Kluyveromyces lactis: one gene and its partners. The protein of the gene in region 2 interacts with the protein of the main gene of each other region in a pairwise test. Links are inferred from orthologs where the notes say so. Each region holds a gene or a part of one and is shown on either strand. Other genes may lie near its edges.

Region 1 (2,774 bases), on a different chromosome or scaffold from region 2:
AAGGAGAGAGTTCCAGGTGAATCGGCAAGTAAGATCTTTAAAGTCTCTGATAGAAGAGCCAAACAATTACCAGCTGTAGGCCTACTCATGGCAGCAGCTTCCGAGTCATTGCCCAAGATCAAAAACGTTCATTTCAGTGAAGGTGGTGTCAGAGAAGGTACTTTATACTCGATTCTTCCAAGGGAGATTAGAGCACAGGATCCACTTGTCATTGCAACCAGACCCTATGCTCCTTTGCTTGTTCACAAATATTTGGAACTATTAAGGACTGCTATACCTACTAAAGAGATTCCAAAGATAGTATACGAAAGAATAGCTCCTGCTCTTTGTAACCTCGCTTTCGTACACGCTTCATATCCAAAGGAACTACAACCGACCGCAGCACTACGTGTAGGTACATCTGGTATCATTGCTGGGTGTCATGGGCTATCTCACAGATCAAGAGCTTTGGTGGGAATAGCATTGTGCAATAGATGGGGTGGAGACATACCAGAACCTGAAGAAGTGTACAAAAAGCTATTGGAAGACATTGCACTAAGAGATGGTGACAAACTAGAACGTGAAAGGACAATATGGTGGACAAAATACATTGGCACTATCATGTATGTCATTTGTGGTGTTCACCCTGGTGGTAACATTGGAGATGGTGTCTTCCATTTCAGCACTTCGGAGAAAGATGAATCGGCTATTGATTTACAGATGCTATCTATAGATGAGAACCTTTCAGGAAACGGCAAGCCAACTCCAACAGGGAACCCGAACAAGAGGATATTCGAAGTTGTTGTCAAGATTAACAGAAACGATCTAAAGACTATTGCTTCTGTGAGGCAAAGAATCATCACGTTGCAAAAGAAAATAAGGAAATTATCCCGTGGTTCCAGCGACAAGGTTAAGATCAATGTAGAATTCTATTGAACACTCAATTGCGATCTCAGTATGTATAGGCTTTATATAGAATGCTCTTTATTTTACTTCCCTCAGCCTCCCTTCCTGTTGAAGATTTAATATCTAATTTACCCTGTTTGTAACAAGCCTCAGACCCTAAAATGTGATATAAATATTCGTGAAAGCGCCATATAGGTAGTGTAGTGCGCTGCTGTGTACTACTATCCGATGGTCGTATCCTCTGTTGATCACTCTGTTTTAGCTGGAAAAATATAGCGTTACCCGCCCTTTAACATTTTACCTTATTAGAACGATTTTGCCACTATCGAATATAAGAGAGACATGCAATTCATAATTAATACATAAGGAGTTCACTTCACGACAGGTTACAATCAACACTAAAGAGTCACCAAGGGTATTTTCTGCGAATCCAATCCATTGAAACACTTTCCAACATGAATCACGATCCATTTGCCTGGGGAAGGCCATCTGACGAACACTATGGCGCGTACAATCATGCCATTGCCCAAGCGTCAAATAATCCAAAGATGAATACTCAGAACCCTATTATTACCGGTACTTCTGTCATCAGTATTAAGTATAATAACGGTGTTATTGTTGCAGCTGATAATCTAGGTGCTTACGGTTCGTTATTACGTTTCACAAACGAGGAGAGATTGATCAAAGTGGGTCCCAACACGGTTGTTGGTGTATCCGGTGACATTTCCGATATGCAATACATTCAACATCTATTAGACGAGATGGAAATTGAAAACAATTACGATAGCGCATATGCGGATAATGAGGAGCAATTGAAACCAAGCTTCGTTTTTGAATATCTATCATCTGTGATGTACCAACGTAGATCCAAGTTAGATCCTTTATGGAATGCGATAATTGTAGGGGGCACAGAAGATGGAAAGCCATTTTTAAGATACGTTAACCTATTAGGTGTCACATACTCTTCGCCAACGTTGGCTACAGGGTTCGGTGCCCACTTGGCATTGCCCCTTTTAAGAAAGCTAGTAGACACCGAAAAGGACGTGGAAAAAGTGAATCTAGATGTTGCTAAGAAAGCTATCCTAGAGGCAATGAAAATATTATACTACCGTGATGCCCGTAGTTCACGTAAGTTTTCATTGGCTATAATCGACAATGAACTGGGGCTCAATATCGAAAAGGACCTACAAGTAGAGAATATGTCTTGGGAATTCGCCAAAGACATCAGAGGATATGGTACCCAAAAGGTATAGGTTTCGGATTTACTTCGTCTTGTCTTCATGCTTTCACTTATCCACGCAGATAATACTTGCACCAAAATACACAATCTCATGCCAACAAAGGAAGAGCAACACATGGTGATCCTGCTCTGGTAATATATACTTTCTTTGTCAATAACGGGAAGACCTCACCTCTTCTGTGTTTTCTCTATAAATGTATACTATGCGTAAATTCTGAATTAGGGCACATATTCACACATAATACACCAAGAAAGAAACTGATCAAAACGGCGTCAATGCTGTCAACTACTGGACAGCCAGCTCAGTCATTATGTCACTAAGATATTTCGAGTGAAGGGACCTGTATATATGAAGGTTATCGTTGGAGTTACCTTTCTTTATTCTTTTACAGTTCCAATTCTTTTAGAAAACAAGTTTAATTCTATATAAACAAGTAGTAACCTAATTGATTAATGAATCATCGACAAAGGAAAGACTAGAGGACTTATAGCGCTAGCCCAGTATACCTATATTCCATACTCTCAAATACAACTGGCTTGTAGGGTAGGCATCTATACGCCAGGAAACAGATTTTTACCGATATCTTGCGATATATTTCCATTCTGGTTTCGAAAGTGAAAAGATGTCTACGTATCCTGGATGCTCATT
Region 2 (2,595 bases):
TGACAACATCATCGTGAACATCAAGCTGCTCAGCAAGAAGAGTCTTAACCCTTGTGGCTGCTGTGCTTCCAGCAGTCTTGTTCACCACATCATAAATGTCGGACACAACAGCGGCACTCAAATCCTGATCCATCTCCAACAGTTTTTTCTTAAACTCATTCTTCGTGGTACAGTTCTTATTTATGTTGATGATAAAATCAGCGACTATCTCATCATCTAAACCGAGTACTTTGCATATCTCCTTCTTGACATCAGACATGCTATTCGCAGCAGCAACCTTAACTTAGGTAGGTACTAGAAAGGACAGATCAGACGAAGCTGTTGCAGTGATGTTGCCTATCCTTTTTTTCATGTTTTGTTGAGATGAGATGAGATAAGATGGTTTACAATAAAGTCAATAAATCTCAAAATTGTATATTGATCAACGTCAAAAAGAGAGAGAAGACAAATCGATACACGCTAATCTACCAGCGACACCTCCAAACTTAAAATGCTTTTGACTCTTGGGTATTTCTGAGATAAGATATTACTTTGAGTTTTGTTTATACAAAAGATGTAAATATGTGTATGTACTTGATTCTGGTTAGAAAGATTGCACTAAAAGTCGTCAACGACCCTAACACCATCCTTATCCACGATTTTTACAATAACCCCCTTGAAATCAACTGGCATTCTTAGCTCTAGCTCTTGTACACATTGCTTCAATAAACCTAAGGCTTCATCTACTGTTAAATCCTCTCTGTAATGACGATCCAATAGAGAGAATGTGTAGAAACCAGCGTAACCGTGGGCAGCGTATGGTAATTCTACCTTAGTACCTAGATAATCTATCTGGTACAACTCTGCTTTCTCATTCTTGGTATCATAACCACCGATTAATACGTTAACTTGGAATGGTTTCCTCGATCTTAGGGATTTAGCCAATTCTGTTCTAACAAAACTCGATGCCGCATGAGGAGACAATTCATAATTTTCTCTAATCAAATACAATTGCATATTAGCCTGGATATATTCAGCAAACTGTACTGTATCACCAGCTTCACCAGAGAACGACATTAGTGTGTGAGGGAGTAATTGTCTGGTCTTGTCATCTGAATCTTTCAAAATTGAAATACCCCTAGTTACAGCCTTTGAAGAGGCCAATATCACCGAATCCTTGACTCTTATACCTAATAGAACATCCATTGGGAGATTTAGTATAAACTTTGACTCTTTTCACTGTCGATAGACCCTATATTTCCCTGTTTCCTCCCTGATAAAGGTTTGCCACCGTAAGTGTATGTTCTTTTTGTCAATTGTATTTTAGTTAAACATTTTCAAACATCATTTAAAGGTTTTCCACTGTATGAAAGGTGACAATACACAGAGAGAGAAACAGACAAAGCGTTTTATTCGCAGGAATGAAGCCCAAGCTAGGCGCCAATTGTGGGGTGATAGTAACTAAGAATACACTTGTTGAATGTTTTTTATTTTACTGTTTTGTTTCAGGTAGTATCGATAAATAGGTATTGTTCTTATTTGTAAATATACATATGTATATATGTGCTTGATCATGCAAGACAGCTGAATTAGGCATTCAGAAGTCAATAGACGACTTGATATCTTCTTCACGGTCTCTCTTTTGTGAGGATAATTCTTGTTTGACCAACTTGTTGACATACTTTCCGAACATGTCTAGGTACGGTTGTAGTGAAGTGCGTTGCACTTGATTATCGTTAGTATCCATTTCGTTCTGTAATTTTATAAGTTTTGGTGCCATTTCTGGTGAGAACTCTTCTGTAATCGGTACACAAACGTTACCAGTGGATGGATGTATACAGAATGGAGCCTTGAGTAAATGGATGGTTTGTTTTGTGACTTCCACATCTAATTTAGGGTATAGCGTTTGGATGATGATATCTTCTTTACTCTCGCGTAGTCTCTGCAAATAATCGTGTTGTCTCTGTTTAGGAAAGCTACTTATTAGCTGAGACGCTATCACATCCATGTCCTTCCATTTTTCCTCACTTGATCTTCCAGGTTTGTTGGTCCATAGTTTCTTTAGCTGCTCAGATAGCTGTTTGTCGTGACAACTGGTAGCCAAAGATTTTATCGCTAGTTCATCATCTCTCCAAGTGTCTTGTTCCCTTAGAATGATTTCAACGAAATGAGGTTTCAAAATCTCCAGAGATCTTGATAGATGTGGATGCAGCGGTCTAACCAAATTCAATCTCTTCTCAATATTTCTATCCCTAACCACGTTCATATAATCCAACATGTTCTTCCTATGAGAATCCGTCATGACCCTGGCTCTCTTGTCACTAATCCAACAATGGGCACCACGTCTACCAGAGAAAACCCAAATGAACTCATCAAAACCGAAATCATTTTCCAAAGATGAATTGATTACTTTCATAGCTAATTTAATAAAGTGCCAACACTTGGGACACACTTGTGCCCCAGAACAACATGTTCTATAACTATCATAATCATCCATATCGATATCGAAAACTAATTCTTTCTCCATCGGTTTCATCTCAGTCTTAAGTAAAGAGTCGCGCTCCCTTGGCGGTTTATTGTACACTGCACCGATCTCAAATCTATCTGGATTAGCCT
Region 3 (2,998 bases), on a different chromosome or scaffold from region 2:
TGGGTTGAATCTGAGGGTGGATTACAATTAGCTGATTCTTTGGATGAAGATGCTTGTATCGTAGAAGGGTACCCGGAATACGCTACATGGAGAACACATTTGGCCTACATGAGAGACCCAAGCGGCGATCCCGAGGTCGAGATGGAACTAGACGGAATTGGTGGTGTTTCCATCTTATCTAAAGCTAAGGTCTTTAGAACAGGTTCTCATTTCCCTGCGTTCTCTTTCGAGAAACATGCTGAAACTGAAGCCTTTGGTAAATTATCACGTAGAATGCAATACAGTGTTGTCGGTCTACCTCATTATGTGATCTGGCACATTTACGAACCTTCAAGTGACGATTTGAAACACATGGCCTGGATGGCCGAGGAAGAGAAACGTCGGGTTGAAGAGCAAAAAATTCAAGAGTTCTATGCTAGAATTTGGGATATTGGTTTCGATGACGTGAGAGATGAGTGGGAGCTAGAAAGGTTACAAATTTTGAAGAACATTGATCCGAATGTCCTAGATAGGAAGATTCAAGTGGACTGGTCAGATGATGATGAAGCAGATGATGGTTCAAGGAACGGAGGAAATAATCAAGATTCACATGAAGTACCACTGGACTTTGATCCTGCTCATTAATAATTTTCTGTTTAGGCAGTGAAGAGTAAAGAAGATTATAAAACCCACAAATACATTCTTCACTAACGAGATATTTTTTAAAAAGATATCTTAACCATCTAATTTCAATTCTCATCGCTTCCATCCCCTATTATTATTCAATTATTAGGCAGACTGTAACACGTTGGAGTATCTAGTTGTACAATATGCACCTTAGATCATTATCGAGGTTTTTATCAATAGACTTTTTTTTACATTTACGTTTAAATGCATTATATACTAATATTGTACTTGCAATAATCTGTTCATTTTGTTTACTTCAAACCATATTACTACTGGTAACTATTACAGGCAAGCAAATACTGAAAACACGTTATCAAGCTGCATTAAGCTGTAATTTTCAGCGTATTCCGGAGTTCTGCATCTTGTCAGATACCTTCAGTTTTTTTTTTTGTCAACATCGAAAATGAAAGTTGAGAACAGTGAAAGAAATTGAAATTAATGCCAAATCAACTTGAATCTGATGGCTGGGTGGCAAAGAAGATAAAGTCAAGAAAACAACCGTTGAGACAAAGTCCAAGAAAATCACAAGCATAATGCTTATTAATTTTAAAGATTTCAAAAAGGAAAAACTACCTATTGAATTGGCGGATGATGCCACCATTTCACACGCCAAGGAATTGATCGCTGAACAAAAACAGTGCGATGCATCTCAAATAAAGTTGATCTACGCAGGTAAGATACTCCAGGATCCTAAGACCGTATCAGGATGCAATCTTAAGGAAGGGGATCAGGTTATATTCATGATTAGCAAAACTAAGAAAAAGGCTGATGTTAAGGTAACTGAATCCACAACTGAACCCCAAGATGAATCTCAAGCCACTGCTTCTGCAGAAACTTCTGCAGTTGCAAATGCACCTGCGGAAGCTACAACCACTGGTACAAGAACAGGTACTACTGCAGTTACACAAGAAGAAGGGACGACTGATGCTTCGTTTGTCACTGGTTCTCAACGTAACGAGACTGTGAACAGAATCATGGAAATGGGTTATGATCGTGAACAAGTAGAACGTGCGCTTAGAGCAGCATTCAACAACCCTGACCGTGCAGTGGAGTATTTGCTTATGGGTATTCCTGAAGCCAGTGAGCCATCGCAGCAACAAGCTGAAGCTGTAACTAGTGAAGCTGGGGCGAATGCTAATTCTGAAGTTGCAACAGACGTGCCATCACAATTCACTGAACATGAAGACAATTTATTTGCACAAGCAGAAGCCAATAATGGCGAGCAAGGTCATGAATCCGCTGCTGGTTTAGGTGGAGAAGAAATGGGCACAATCGGATTGACTATGGAGGACATTACACAACTTCGTGACGTTGTATCTGGGCGTCCAGAGGCTTTAATGCCACTTTTCGAGAGTCTAAGCACGCGTTACCCACATCTCCGTGAGACCATGCTGCAAGATCCACAAAGGTTTATCTCTTTGCTATTAGAAGCTGTTGGCGGTTCCCTAACCGATTCTTTGGGTGAAAATCTGGGAGATGACATAGCAGAAGGTGATCTAGGTGATTTCGGGGGACAAACTCAAGGCGCGCCTCCCAATGTTACTATCTCAGCAGAAGATGAAGAAGCTATCAATAGACTTTGCGAGTTGGGTTTTGAGAGGACCTTGGTGGTGCAAATCTACTTCGCATGTGACAAAAACGAAGAAATTGCTGCCAACATGCTATTCAACAATTACGCTGATTGAATGTAGTATGATTTTTCAATAAACCATCGTCTCTTTAGGCATGTAGGGAAAGAAGAATATGTTCAAAATAGAAAACAAAAATAATTATCTCTACCAAATTTGTTTAATAATATGGAATATGCGTACTCATATCTCCAGCATGTAGTGTTTGCCAATCCAAGTATGACCTCTATACCGTCAGATTTTCCTACTACAGCGAAGGCATCCCACATATTCATCTTCCAATTTTTGCACACATACGCACTCATAATGAGCAGTTATACTTAACCAACCTTAGTCAATCTGCAACAGACGGAGCGTGGTATGTTCGATCTCTTACTTCCAACTTCAAGTAGGATTTGTGTTACAATCAATCAGATATCCCCTTCATTAATTTTTTTAAATTTATTCATCATTACACTATATCCTTAGTCCCAATTCAGAGAACCAGTGTACCTTAGACATGTCTTATATAGATGAGAAGTTATTAAGCGCTTTATATTTTTCTGCATTAGATACCGGGTTGTTTCCAGGCCTCAATGCCAAGATGGTGCTGATGCCTACATCCAAAGCTGCGTCTAACTCCTTGTCATTGTCGCTAATAAACACAACATCACTTGCTGATGATGGAGGCACTCCAATGCTTTTGAGAATATTGGTGTAAGATT

Evidence for each region.
Region 1: the proteins of PRE1 (region 2) and PRE4 interact in binary tests that used the Saccharomyces cerevisiae proteins (3 or more experiments, as listed by UniProt). The link is inferred for Kluyveromyces lactis from reciprocal best matches to the Saccharomyces cerevisiae genes PRE1 and PRE4.
Region 3: the proteins of PRE1 (region 2) and RAD23 interact in binary tests that used the Saccharomyces cerevisiae proteins (3 or more experiments, as listed by UniProt). The link is inferred for Kluyveromyces lactis from reciprocal best matches to the Saccharomyces cerevisiae genes PRE1 and RAD23.

The regions. Positions count from the first base shown.
Region 1 is NC_006040.1:986,504-989,277, forward strand, and holds PRE4 (proteasome core particle subunit beta 7), read left to right. Parts: upstream 1-1,340; coding exon 1,341-2,138; downstream 2,139-2,774. Other genes in the region: RTG2 (Rtg2p), read left to right, coding at 1-915; 3',5'-cyclic-nucleotide phosphodiesterase PDE1, read left to right, coding at 2,749-2,774. UniProt on the Saccharomyces cerevisiae protein: Non-catalytic component of the proteasome which degrades poly-ubiquitinated proteins in the cytoplasm and in the nucleus. It is essential for the regulated turnover of proteins and for the removal of misfolded proteins.
Region 2 is NC_006038.1:1,023,668-1,026,262, forward strand, and holds PRE1 (proteasome core particle subunit beta 4), read right to left. Parts: upstream 1,186-2,595; coding exon 598-1,185; downstream 1-597. Other genes in the region: DEAH-box ATP-dependent RNA helicase PRP22, read right to left, coding at 1-259; DNA primase subunit PRI1, read right to left, coding at 1,577-2,595. UniProt on the Saccharomyces cerevisiae protein: Non-catalytic component of the proteasome which degrades poly-ubiquitinated proteins in the cytoplasm and in the nucleus. It is essential for the regulated turnover of proteins and for the removal of misfolded proteins.
Region 3 is NC_006041.1:1,973,988-1,976,985, reverse strand, and holds RAD23 (Rad23p), read left to right. Parts: upstream 1-1,199; coding exon 1,200-2,351; downstream 2,352-2,998. Other genes in the region: ANP1 (Anp1p), read left to right, coding at 1-624; putative acireductone synthase UTR4, read right to left, coding at 2,799-2,998. UniProt on the Saccharomyces cerevisiae protein: Plays a central role both in proteasomal degradation of misfolded proteins and DNA repair.